Linked DNA regions of Arabidopsis thaliana. The protein of the gene in region 1 interacts with the protein of each later gene in a pairwise test. Each region holds a gene or a part of one and is shown on either strand. Other genes may lie near its edges.

Region 1 (5,760 bases):
ATTGCCATGTTCTGACTAATAAAGATAAATTGGTTCAATAAGTTTACACCACCACTGTGTAGTTGTGATAATCCTACTCGATCTTTTGAATAGAGGTGACAATAAGTTCAACTTTTCATTATATACTAAGAATACAATCTTTTTGAAGCAGATCTAACCTGGTCTTATCAGAAATTATACCGTGCCACTTTTTTTTGTTTTGTTTGCAACATATTTTTCGGATCATGTATGAACTGCAAAGCAAATGTGCTGCAAAACATTTCAACATAAGTCTGTATAAAGAAAGCTGTTAAAAATAGTAAACTAAATTTTCCACGACTAAAATAAGTTCCAAAACAGTATACATACAAAAGATCTGGATTTATCGAACAAGCATATCTGGATAAGTTTTTTTTTTTGTTTTAGTTTCAAACTTGTCTAATTACCTCCTTTGACTTTCATAAGCATTCATAAACAAGTTTGAAATGGAATCAAATTGTTTTCCAATGGAGCTGTCATTGAATTGGATATAATGTCTAAGACCATTCAGTAAGCCCGAACTTTGCAAGAACTTTAAAATTGACCAATGCTAACTGAAAACTATCGTCTCGGATTTATAAATAGTAGTCACTCTCCTTCATATTAATTATAATTCAAGTCTTGCAATTTATGTAGCTGATCCCTCATGCATGCATTTGTTATAAAAACTTTGTTACTCTCTATAGATTAATTCCTGAAAACCCTAGATAAACTGTTCTCTGGTGATCTTTAGAACTAAAAGCAGTCTTGTTCAAAGCAAGAAACAAAAAAATCAGCCTTCATAGAAAATGAAACTTCTATCAACTATTTCTTCAACCTAAAAGCAGTCTTGTTCAACGCAAAAAACAAATAAAATGTTTAAAGAAAACGGACTAATCTTGCAGTTGCACTAAACTTGGAACATAAGAAGAGCTCACAAGTTGGCAAGATTGCAGCTGTGAATTGAAAACTAGTTCGATGTTGACAGCTTTGAAGTATCCACTATCTCCAACGATGCAAGCTCTCTGGTAGTACTGACAGGTCTCACGTCCTCTATATCTGTTTGTACCGAAAAGCACAGCGACCTTCTTCTCCTCATCGAAGAAAAAGCTCGTAGCATAAGAGTGAACAAAAAAGTTATCCGGTAAACCATTGATTAGTGTCATATCAATTCTCAAAAAAGTGGTCCATGATACTGCACTGGGATCAATCTTAGTCGAAATACAAATCTCTATTGTGCCAAATCTGTTGAGGTGGCTGTATAACACAGCGAGTTTCTCATTTCTAACACAAGATAGAGTCAAATATTCAAAACGACGAGATGGAGGTTTAAACAGCATAGGCAAACGTGGTCCCTTTCGACCAAAAAAGTAAGTATTTCCCTTCAAAGACACGCTATTGTGACTAAACAGTTCATGCCAATCTATATCAATATCAAGAACCCTCCATGAATCAGAGCTAAAATCGTAAACATCAATAATGACGTTTCTTGGACTCCCCTCATAAAGAAACCTCAAAATTTTGTGGTTACGGTTGTTGTCGTATCCAAGAGCAAACTTGTCATATCTGTGGAGTTTTTTTCTTGGTTGAATCAATTTCGTCTGCCCTAAATACGGATTCCATACCATAACACTCGAGTTGTCTTTGGCGATGCATAACAATAAGCCATCACAGTGATAGACTTGAGATATCTCGACTTGATCAACTTTATTAGGTATACTTATTTGCTTTATAGATAGATCAATCAAATCTTCTTCGCTACGGATTCCTTGAAGATCTAATCTCAAAGAACAAACCCTAGAATCTGTAACCATGAACTCCAAGAACTGATTCTTTGCTGCTGCTTTTTTACCTAAGATGTCATATTTCGATATAGCGTTCCACTTTTTACAAGTAGATCTCACTGCTCTTAGAGATGTCAATGGAACCCTAGAAAATATTTCTCTTACCAAATCATCCGGTAGATCGGTTACTGTCGCCATTCTTCCTCCAAGTTTTCAGCTTTCTCCACAAGTTTAATGTCTCATTGACCTATTCGGTACCCTAATATGTTTGTATATGTGTTTTGGTTGGGCTTGTAATAAAGTTTTGCTTTGGCACAGATTTTTTAAATGGGCCTATTATTTGGAAAAAAATAAACCATCGAATCCTTAACTATATCATATGGTAAAATTACGAAATCGTTTAGCAACTGATTTTCAGTTTTACTTAAAAACTACGAAGCTCTTGATTTAGTTCGTAGAGTGCACCACCACATATTTAGTAATCTCTTTATAGATCAGATGATATGTGACTAACATAAATTTCCAGAGTAGATGAGTGATGACTATATATTAATTGGGAAACTTTGACATCTATCACTTTTACGATTCCATTTCTCAAAATAAACTACTAAAGACTTTTTTTTTAAAAGGATGCAAAAGAATCCTAAGATAGAGTGTTTTGAGAAGTCTATTAGCCCATGGAACTAGAGTTTTAGCTAGCAAAAGCATATAAATTTATGGTTAGAACATCCATGGAAGGTAACTTTGTTTGAGAGTTGTCCTCTCAAAACAACTCTCTTCCTTCATCTTAATAAGAGTATCAATTTCGAATCATAGTGTTCTTGGTGACAACGAAGTAATATTTTCTCTATCAGTACCCTTGCATCATAAAGTTTTAATAATCTATCTAAGTTCTTAGTTTCTATCTTAATAAGTTTGAATCTTTCTTCTTTTGAGATTGCTTACAAAAAAATCATTCAAGAATCAATTTATAAAACCTTATATAACTTTATAAATATTTTCTATAAAATGTATTTAAAGAAATTATAAATCCTTTTGTGGTGTTTTTGAAAAAAAAAATTAGTGATAGTTATGAAATGTATCATAAAAATTGTAGTTTTCAAATTCTTCCTCAAGAATTTGATTATACGGGTTGTTGCTGAACATAGAGATGAACAAAAAGAAGATATGTGTTGAAAACATTGGAATGTTGCCAAAGTCGTCATCCTAACTAAACCAATATACCGAATGATTTATTGTTTTTGTTTTATTATCGAATTAAATACAAAAAGATTACTGTAACTGTTGAACAACCTCTAGTCTTTCTAATATATTCTGATTAATTCAACGTTATAGGTGAGGAAGGTAAGATGTTGGTAAAAGTCATGCATGGAAACAACTTCACAAGACAAAACTTTGATATAAAATAAAGTACATATAATACATGTTGGTGCATTAGTATTACTAAATACAAAGTTGTAGATCCATGGGAGATCAACAAAAAATTCACCCGGTTCTTCAAATGGAAGCCAACAAGACGAAGACAACAACACCAGCTCCCGGAAAGACAGTCTTGCTTCCGGTTCAACGGCCGATTCCGCCTCCTGTTATTCCTAGTAAGAATCGAAATATGTGCTGCAAAATCTTTTGTTGGGTGTTAAGCCTTCTAGTCATTGCATTGATCGCGTTAGCAATTGCGGTTGCGGTTGTATACTTTGTTTTCCACCCTAAACTCCCGAGTTACGAAGTCAACAGTTTACGAGTTACCAACCTTGGAATCAATCTAGACCTCTCTCTTTCCGCGGAGTTTAAAGTCGAGATCACAGCTCGTAATCCCAACGAAAAGATTGGGATTTATTACGAGAAAGGAGGTCATATCGGTGTGTGGTACGACAAGACAAAGCTATGTGAAGGCCCTATACCGAGGTTTTATCAAGGACATCGCAATGTAACTAAACTAAATGTGGCTCTAACGGGAAGAGCGCAATATGGGAACACTGTCTTGGCGGCATTGCAGCAGCAACAACAAACAGGACGTGTACCGTTAGATCTTAAAGTGAATGCACCTGTCGCCATCAAACTCGGAAATCTGAAGATGAAGAAGATTCGGATATTGGGGAGTTGTAAGCTTGTTGTTGATAGTTTATCAACGAACAATAATATCAACATCAAAGCTAGTGATTGCAGTTTTAAGGCCAAACTCTGAGATGTTCTTAGATCTAGGCGCTTTTACTTTTTATTGGTGTTAATTACTCAATTCATCATTTTCTTATGCATTTGATTCATATTTTGGATTAATGGTTTTATTCTCAATAAAAGATTGATTTTTATTTTTTAAATTACGAGAGATTTTTGAAATTTCAAAATATTGCAAATGAATGGTTCTTTTCCGCTTAACATAATTTCTATGAAGTAGTCGGAACGAGACTCTCTTCTAGAGAGAGAGAGAGTCATTCAGGAACCGACGTGCTTACATGGGAAAAAAACCTATTGCGATCTCATGTCTTTTTCCAAGGCAATCGATCCGCACATTAAAACGACGAGAAAGAAAATTAATACTAGAAGAGGGAAAAAAACATACAAGGGAACCAAATGTCGTCATCTCAACTACAAATGTTGGCTACACTGAAAGTTTTTCAATAGAGATAAGATCTTCACGGTCGAAAGCAAAAGAGCAACTCGTAACACCTATCGAGATTATAAATTCTATTGCCCATAGCATGGAATCAACTTCAGCATGAATGGTTTGGTAGTGTGAATCACATCTATACTATTTTTTCAATGGTAAAACTTTCGAAAATTACAATAGAATTGAAATATAAAATTTCGAGAAAATTCAAACGATCTCGAGTTTAATTCATCCCAAGTAAAAAAAGAAGTAAAAATCGAAGAAATTACAATGTAATCATTATCAATTAACAACATTAATTCATGTATATAAAATTCAAACATAACCAAATTATAAATCAAATTTTCCCAAAAGAAAAATAAAAAGCTCTAAATGCTTTAAAAAATCTCATCACTTGCCTTGTTTAGATTCATGAAGAACAGCTTTCATAATCAATCCATCATTATGCACAACCATAATCACCGGCGAGTTTCCGATACCTCTCGCCATCGCCGTCAAAATCTCTGCAATCAAATCCCTAAAATTTTTTGGAACCAAATCTTCACCGAATCTCTCGAAAATCGCATTGTACACGTTATCGGTCTCGTCTCCAGGAGCGACCTCAGATTCCACAGCTACCACATTGTTGAGACCTTGACGAAGCTCCGATGGAGACAACATTCCGTTTTTGTCTAGATCTAGAATCTGGAAATAGTCGTTGGTTATGGATTCGAATGATTTTGTATCGGAAAGGAATCCGATTAGAGTTTTGCTTGTGATTACTGTTTCGATCATCGTAGAATTCTCGAATTCGTGTTTTGAGATCTGAATTTGGAAAAAGTCTCTTTGAATTTTTTTGTTTTTCTTTGATGTTTGGTTAAATGATGCTACAAGATTCGATAACGTAGTAATATGTTGCGTGCATGTTTTGCCACAGAGAATATAAGCTACCTTTTAAAATTATGAGTTTTTTTTTTTTGGTTTTGTTTTTTGTTTTTTCTTGTTGATTTTATTTTTAAGCTTGAAAATTATATGATTTTAATGTTAATTTTCTGATAACTATGTAAATGTCTTCACATTTACAGTTTTAGTTTGCATATACACCTATTTTTTTTTAGAAGATTTTGTGTAGTTAGTTAAAATGATTTTACATGTTGAGTATAACAATGAATTTTTATTTCCTTACGAAATATTGATGATATTACAAAGTTTTTAAGTTAGACAAAAGTTTTTGATTTCACAAATACTAAATGCATCATTAATGGTATCAAATTTGATTCTTAATTGCCTTCATTTCCGGTTTAGGTAACCGGTCATAGAGGTTTGTGGTATAAAAACAAAGTTATGGTGTGTTTTACACTTTACAGAGTAAGAAACTGTACCGTCTAACAA
Region 2 (7,336 bases), on another chromosome or scaffold:
GTAGAGCTCAGCTTAAAAATACCTTGTAAACTTCACCAAACCCACCTTTACCTAGCTTGTTATTCCTCGAAAATTTATCAGTTGCCGCTTCGAGGGTCATAAAATCAAATTGCAGAGACTGTGGACTTGTCATGTCATCATCAGCTGCAATAACTTATATATGGTTTCTACTACTGGTTCCAAAAAAAAGCAATGTAACAATTAAGAGAGAAAAAAAAACTCACTTTTAGGTTTTAGTGTTTTGTACGATTGTCTTCTCTTCCGTATGACCAATACTAAAGCGAGCAGCACTACAAATATAACCACGGAGACAACAACTGCAACAATAGCTCCCGTAGATATTGTTTTCCCATCTGGAGATGGTGGAGGTAGCGATGGCGTGTCACCAAAGGCACCAAGATATTCAGAACCATCCCACCTGAAAAAGCAGACCGGCTTGCGAATAGTTCCTCCTATGAACCCATTGCAGCAACTCTGGTACATACGCACATTATCTCGAATACAAGTTTCACATTCCATAGAGGATATCCCTCGAATACATTGCATCAGCGCATATATACGAGCAGAACCTATCCGAGGGGATATATCGGCCAGGTAACGAGTTCGACCGACTCTGGTGATCATAGAGTTCATGAACTCCTCCCATGTTCTTGTATAAGCTGCAAGGTCCCCTTGGAATAGTCCACTATTTAGATCTCCTATAACCATTGTCGGCTCTAGATCCATTTTGTTGAAAAACGAGCTGTTGGAGTAACGAACGAAACAGAGTGTTTTCTGGGATCTCCAGTCGTATGAGTCGGTCTGGTTCGGGCAGTTTTGTAATATACCCGTAGATGCGATTTGCATACAATCATCACAGACCTTTGGATCAGTCCCTGGGATACAGAGACCTAACGCATAGATTCTATCAGGGCCTTCACCGACAGAACCGTTGTAGTAGCCGTCTCGAGAACTCACGTTGGAAGCAAGGTTTGAGAGAATGAGATGACGGTTTGTGTCATAAGTACCGTTGGGTCTGAAAAACATTGAATCCACGCATTTTTGTGCAGACACGTAGCCGAAGCTAATGGCGAGGACAAAACAGAGGATTGACAAGAGATTTTGCAGACACATATCTTTTTTGGATATTTTACTTTGGTCAGGTATGTGTTACAGATTGTAAATAATGTACACATTTTATTTTACTGTAGCACTTAGGGTCGTTGATTTTGTCAAAAAGCATGGTTGGTTAGAAATTTTGTTAAGTAATTGAGGAAAGCATATTCAAGTCAGCTCGGTAATGGTTTTACTAGAACATTTTGGATGTTGATTAGTCAAAAAGTATGGGTGGTAGGAATTTTCGTTAAGTAGTTGTTGAGACAAACATAGTCAAGTCAATGCGATAAATATAAAATCTTTTTCTGTTAGTGTTGCGGACTTTTTCTGTTAAAGTATTATAATACAAACAGTACTATATAAAGGGTTTGTTACTTGCAGTACTGTTAAAACTCTGTTCTGGTGGTATACTGGAGATAGTGTGTTTAATTCCATTGACATGTACGCTAAAGATCACACCACGCGTGATATAGGAGAACTCGTTAGCTTGTGTCGATTCTTGGTCTTATTTCAAGACGTATGTTCAAATTCGTTAGCGATTATGAGTTAATACGTTTAGTGTTCAAGCAATAGCATGTTGTTGGTAATATTTATCAAGATGATATTGTAACACCTCTATTAAAGGAATATAGTGGTGTATATAGTGCTTCGGAGAGGCAATCTATGTCACCAAAGTCCACTTATCTTTTCGGTGAAACATCCTGTCACAGTTAATTAAGTGTGCTTCCGGAAGTCTTTATAGCCTCTTGAAATAGCGAAAACCAGTCTTTGAAAGAGAGGACTTGGATGAGAGACGTTACAAATATACTAGCACATGTGAAGCTGCTAGATAGAGTTTGATGAAACATAAAAACCTTAGAGATCTACAAATGTTGGTGATCAAAATCATTGGAACATCATCATAATATAAGTGTAGTTGCATGGATATTTCAGGGGAAATAATAAAATTTGTTGCCACTTTATAGAAAATCTGGGGGAGCAAAAAGCTGAATAAGCAAGCTGGTGACTATCATAGATGACTGAAGAAGTAAAAAAATGGGTTCGTAAGTGGTTGTTCTTAGAGGTTAATGTATCATATTTGAGGTTTGACAAATTCTCATCTTGCCATGGGAAAAAACAAGAAAGGAATACTCTACCTACACGGCTACACATAAGTTTGGTTTTATATGTACCCATATTACCATAAAAATTAACTGGACCTTTGAAAACTGGAGTTGCTTGTGTTACAAGTAAAATGCTACTGACTAGTGCAAAAGCAATCATCTCACCGAGGAGTGGCTCTAGTGATTGACGCACTATCTATAGAAAAAGGAACAGACATGCTGCTGGATTGCCCCTGCTCGGATCCATAGGTTAAGGGGTCTAAATTGGGTCTGTTCCTGAAGAAAAATCCAGGTGGTCGAGGCACAGGCAGAGTAATGGAGCTATTGGTAAGCATTTGAAAGATTGTAGACATCTCTGGACGATCTGCCGGAGTTTCTTGAACACATAAAATTCCGATATGGATACATCTAATGACTTCATCATTATCGTAGCTTTCCTTAATCGCAGGGTCGATGAGATCTAAGGGTGAATCATTGTTCCAAAGCCTCCAAACCTGCCAAGAAATTAAACTCATATTCAGAATCCAAATCCTTGATGGTCACAATCTAAACAAAGTAAAATTTTAAATTGTTTTCTGCTCACATGTGTCACTAAATTTCCCCCAGAATCATCCATCTGAAAGAAGCTGCTGTTCTTCTTGCCACAAACAATCTCCAAGATCAATACACCAAAGCTATATACATCAGATTTGGTAGAGAATTGGCCATGTGTCACATACTCTGGAGGCATGTAACCGCTGCAAATATACAACATAAAAAGGTTTATGTTAATCAGAAACAAACAAATAGAAAAAGGTTTATCAATTTTAAAGAGATTATCGGAGTACTAACAAGGTTCCAACAACTCTTCCTGTCTGGTCTTCAGTTTGGTCCACTCTAAAATTCCTTGCCATTCCAAAATCAGCTATTTTAGGGTTCATATCAGCATCTAAAAGTATGTTACTTGCTTTGATGTCACGGTGTATGATTGTTAGCCTTGAGTCTTGATGAAGATAGAGAAGTCCTCGCGTAACCCCTCCTATGATGTTGTACCGTCTTTTCCAATCTAGTTGACTTTTCATTTTTGGATCTAAATTACACTATAATTATAAGAAAATTTGATGAATGAACATAAATTAAACCAAGTGTTATTGTTTATTACCAAAGAGGAAATAATCAAGGCTCTTGTTGGAAACAAACTCGTAGACAAGTATCTGTTCATCTCTTTCTATGCAAAACCCAAGAAGCCTAACAAGATTCTTGTGTTGAAGTTTGGCCACAATCACAACCTCGTTCTTGAACTCTTGTGTGCCTTGTCCTGAATTACTCGATAGACGCTTTACCGCAATTTCTGTTTCATTAGGTAACATTCCCTACATATGAAAAACTTATAAGTTCTTAGTTTTCACAGCAAATCAAGCAGTCATAGATATATGTAGAGCTCAGCTCAAATATACCTTGTAAACTTCACCGAATCCGCCTTGACCTAGCTTGTTGTTCCTCGAAAAATTATCTGTTGCCACTTCAATTGTTGTAAAATCAAATTGCAGAGACTGTGGACTTGTCATATCATCATCAGCTGCAAATATATAACATATGCATGGTTACTAATATGCATTCCAATAAGTAATGTGAGAGTGATAAAAAAACAAAAACAAAAAAAGTAACTCACTATGATATTTCAGTGTTTTGTATGATTGTCTTCGCTTCCAAATAACTAATCCTAAAGCGACTAGCACCACGAAGATAACTGCGGAAACAACAATAGCCACAATAACTCCTGTAGAGATCTTTTTTCCATCTGGATCACGAGGAGGAGGAGGAGGAAGAGGAAGCGGCGTGGGGGGTTGAGATGGCGCTTCATCACCGAAGGCACCATAATATTTATAACCATCCCACCGGAAATAGCAGACCGGCTTGTTAACGACTCCACCTATGAACCCATTGCAGCAACTCTGGTAGTCATCGACACATTTTCCAAGACAGGTTTCACAGTCTTCAGAAGATATCCCCGGAATACACTGCATCAGCGCGTATATAAGATCAGGAGACAAAGGTTCCTGATTTATCCGAGGGGATATATCAGCCAGGTATCGAGTTTGACCGACTCGGGTGAACATAAAGTTCATGAACGCGTCCCATGTTCTTGTATAAGCTGTGAGGTTCCCTTGGAACCTCATAGTATTGTAAACTGCGTGAGTTGGCTCTAGAGCCATCTTGTTGAAAAACGAGTTGTTAGAGTAACGAACGAAACAGAGCGTCTTGTCGGCGTTGTCGCCTGTCCAGTAGAATGAGTCGGTCTGGTTCGGACAGGTTTGTAATAAACCTTGAGACGCGAGTTGGATACAATCGGAACACACCCTTGGATCAGACCCTGGGATACAGAGACCTAAGGCATAGATTCTTCCAGCTCCTTCACCGACCGAAACGTTGTAGAAGCGGTTGTTTTGAGAACTGACGTTGGAAGCTAACGTTGATAGAACGAGACGACGGTTAGTGTCATAGTTACCGTTAGGTCTGAAAAACACAGACTCCCCGCATTTTTGGGCAGAGACGAAGCCGAAACTAACGGTAAGGACAAAACAGAGGATTGCACAGAGAGTGTTCAAACACATTTTTTCTCTTGACATTTTACTTTGCTCAGATACTTGTTGCAGATCTTAGAACTTGAATCTTTAAAAGGAAATGTTTATTTTGGAACGTTGATTTGGTCAAAACAGCTTTCGCGTGTAGAATTTTCGTCAAGTAGTGGATACGTGCATTAATGCACAAGTCACCTAGGTCAACGTTTTGGATAATTTAATACTTTATAAACACGTTAGGTAAATATGATGAAAGTGAACGTAGACCAATTCTTGATCTGTAGCTCTTCTAGGCCCTATTTGACACCAAAACGTTCTAACTTACTCCAAAACACAATGCAACAAGCAATGACCAAACACAAGTATTTAAGTCGTCGGTTCCTATTGTTTTAAAAATCTCTTAGTCTCCATTAAGGAATGAGTACCGTTGGGTCTAAAATACTGAGTCCCTGCATCTTTGTGAAGGAAGACACAAAGCAGAAACATGTGAGGATAAAACAGTGGATAGCCTAGTTTGATTTCATTCACCGTACTATTTTGAGAACCTTGATTTGGTCAAAAAAAGATGTTATTGGGCAGGTGAGCCAAGCATTTATTCTTAACAAAAAATGAACGTGAATACATAAACCAGAATCAAAATGAGATAACTTTTAATATTCAAAAATAATTCAATCCTCAGTGTTTCTATACATTGACTTTGAAAATAGAGTTGAGGTAATACAACAGAGTGCAGAAGCAAGAGTTTTACCGAGGAGTGTAGTGATTGTTGCATTGTCGATAGAACAAGTAACAGATTCATTGTTATATTGGTCTGGCTCCAATCCACGGCGTAATGTGTCTGACTCAGGTCTGTTCCTGAAGAAAAATCCAGGTGGTTGAGGGACATTTAGAGTAATGGAGCTATTAGTGAGCATTTGGAATATTGTAGACAATGCTGGTCGATTCACAGGATTTTCTTGAACGCATAAAAGTCCGATATGGATGCATCTAGTGACTTCATCTTTCTCATAGCTTCCGCTAATCGCCGGATCTACGAGCTCTAAAGATGAATCAGTGTTCCAAAGTCTCCAAACCTGCAAACAAACTCGTATTCAGAATCGATGATCACAGTTAGAAAGTAAAAAAAGCATTTTAGATTTCAGCTCACATATGTGACCAAGTTGCAAACAGAACCATCCATCTGATAGAAGCTGCTATTCTTCCTGCCACTAACAATCTCTAGAATCAATACTCCGAAGCTATAGACATCGGATTTGGTAGAGAATTGGCCATGCGCAACATATTCTGGAGGCATGTAACCGCTGCAAATATATACATGACAATGTTTACGTTAGTCAGTAACAAAAACCGTTCATCAGAGAATTGTGCCCATTGTAAATAATAAGGAGAATACTAACAAGGTTCCAACGACTCTTCCTGTACTGTCTTCAGTTTGATGATCTCTGAAATTCCTAGCCATCCCGAAATCCGCTATTTTCGGGTTCATATCAGCATCTAAAAGAATGTTACTCGCTTTGATGTCACGGTGTATGATGGTGAGCCTAGAGTCTTGATGAAGATAGAGAAGCCCTCGTGTAATCCCTCCAATGATGTTGTACCGTCTTGTCCAGTCCAGCTGACCCTTTTTTGTTGGGTCTGCACATCCATTTGCAAATCCAAGCTTAAGATTTCAAGAATATTGGATCAAGAGGAAAATTAGACTACTAGTACTACCGAAGAGGAAATAATCGAGGCTCTTGTTGGGAACAAACTCAAAGACGAGTATCTTTTCTTCTCCTTGCAGAGCAAAACCGAGAAGCCTAACGAGATTCCGGTGCTGAAGTTTTGCTACAAGAAGCACCTCGTTCTTGAACTCCAATTCACCTTGATCTGAAGTTCTTGACAGCCTCTTGACTGCAACTTCAGTTCCATTTGATAACGTACCCTGCATATTACAACTGAATCTAACTAATCATCCCACTATCTCAATATCTTCAAACATAACACAAATACAACTTAAGAGTAGTTGGGGAGAAAATGCCTTGTAAACTTCGCCGAAACCACCTTGACCAATCTTGTTACTCGCCAAAAAGTTACTTGTTGCAGCTTCAATGTCTTTAATATCAAACTGGAGATATCCAACTGTTGTAATATCATCGGCAGCTGCACAATGAAAATGTAGGTGGTTTTATGGTCAGGTCGGTGAAATTCTTTCGTAAATTAGCAGCAAGACCAGCTGATAAGAAAGAAAACAAGAGGAACTCACTTTCTGAGGCAAAAGCTTGATATTTTTTTCTACTCCTGCAAACAGAAACCCCTAGAGCAAGCAGAGCCATGATTATGACCATTGCAACGACAATGACAATCCCAATGATAGTTCCTGTATGAATCGTTTTTTCATCTGTGCAAGACCAAATCACCTAGCTCTTCTTAGAGTTGAATACAAGAAGGGTTATTTCTATCATTTATTTAAGTAAATCACATACCTTTGTTGGTCACTGGAGGTGGGGATTGCAGCTGAGATGAGGGTGGAGGCGCTAGCGTAAGAAGATCAAAGGCGCCATTGAAAGGGTATAGATCCCACCGGAAAATGCAACT

What was found. Proteins that work in one complex are often made in the same cells at the same time.
Region 2: the proteins of AT1G54540 (region 1) and CRK31 interact in a protein complementation assay, tested with the Arabidopsis thaliana proteins (one large-scale study listed by BioGRID).

The regions. Positions count from the first base shown.
Region 1 is NC_003070.9:20,365,908-20,371,667, reverse strand, and holds AT1G54540 (Late embryogenesis abundant (LEA) hydroxyproline-rich glycoprotein family), read left to right. Parts: upstream 1-3,156; 5' UTR 3,157-3,246; coding exon 3,247-3,966; 3' UTR 3,967-4,115; downstream 4,116-5,760. Other genes in the region: XIE (Myosin family protein with Dil domain-containing protein), read left to right, coding at 1-19; AT1G54550 (F-box and associated interaction domains-containing protein), read right to left, coding at 891-1,979; AT1G54530 (Calcium-binding EF hand family protein), read right to left, coding at 4,780-5,163.
Region 2 is NC_003075.7:6,965,185-6,972,520, reverse strand, and holds CRK31 (cysteine-rich RLK (RECEPTOR-like protein kinase) 31), read right to left. Parts: upstream 4,813-7,336; 5' UTR 4,808-4,812; coding exon 3,850-4,807; intron 3,757-3,849; coding exon 3,635-3,756; intron 3,551-3,634; coding exon 3,340-3,550; intron 3,268-3,339; coding exon 3,030-3,267; intron 2,936-3,029; coding exon 2,782-2,935; intron 2,693-2,781; coding exon 2,360-2,692; 3' UTR 2,052-2,359; downstream 1-2,051. Other genes in the region: CRK32 (cysteine-rich RLK (RECEPTOR-like protein kinase) 32), read right to left, coding at 23-144, 225-1,113; CRK30 (cysteine-rich RLK (RECEPTOR-like protein kinase) 30), read right to left, coding at 5,428-5,832, 5,907-6,060, 6,157-6,394, 6,464-6,683, 6,780-6,901, 7,005-7,139, 7,225-7,336.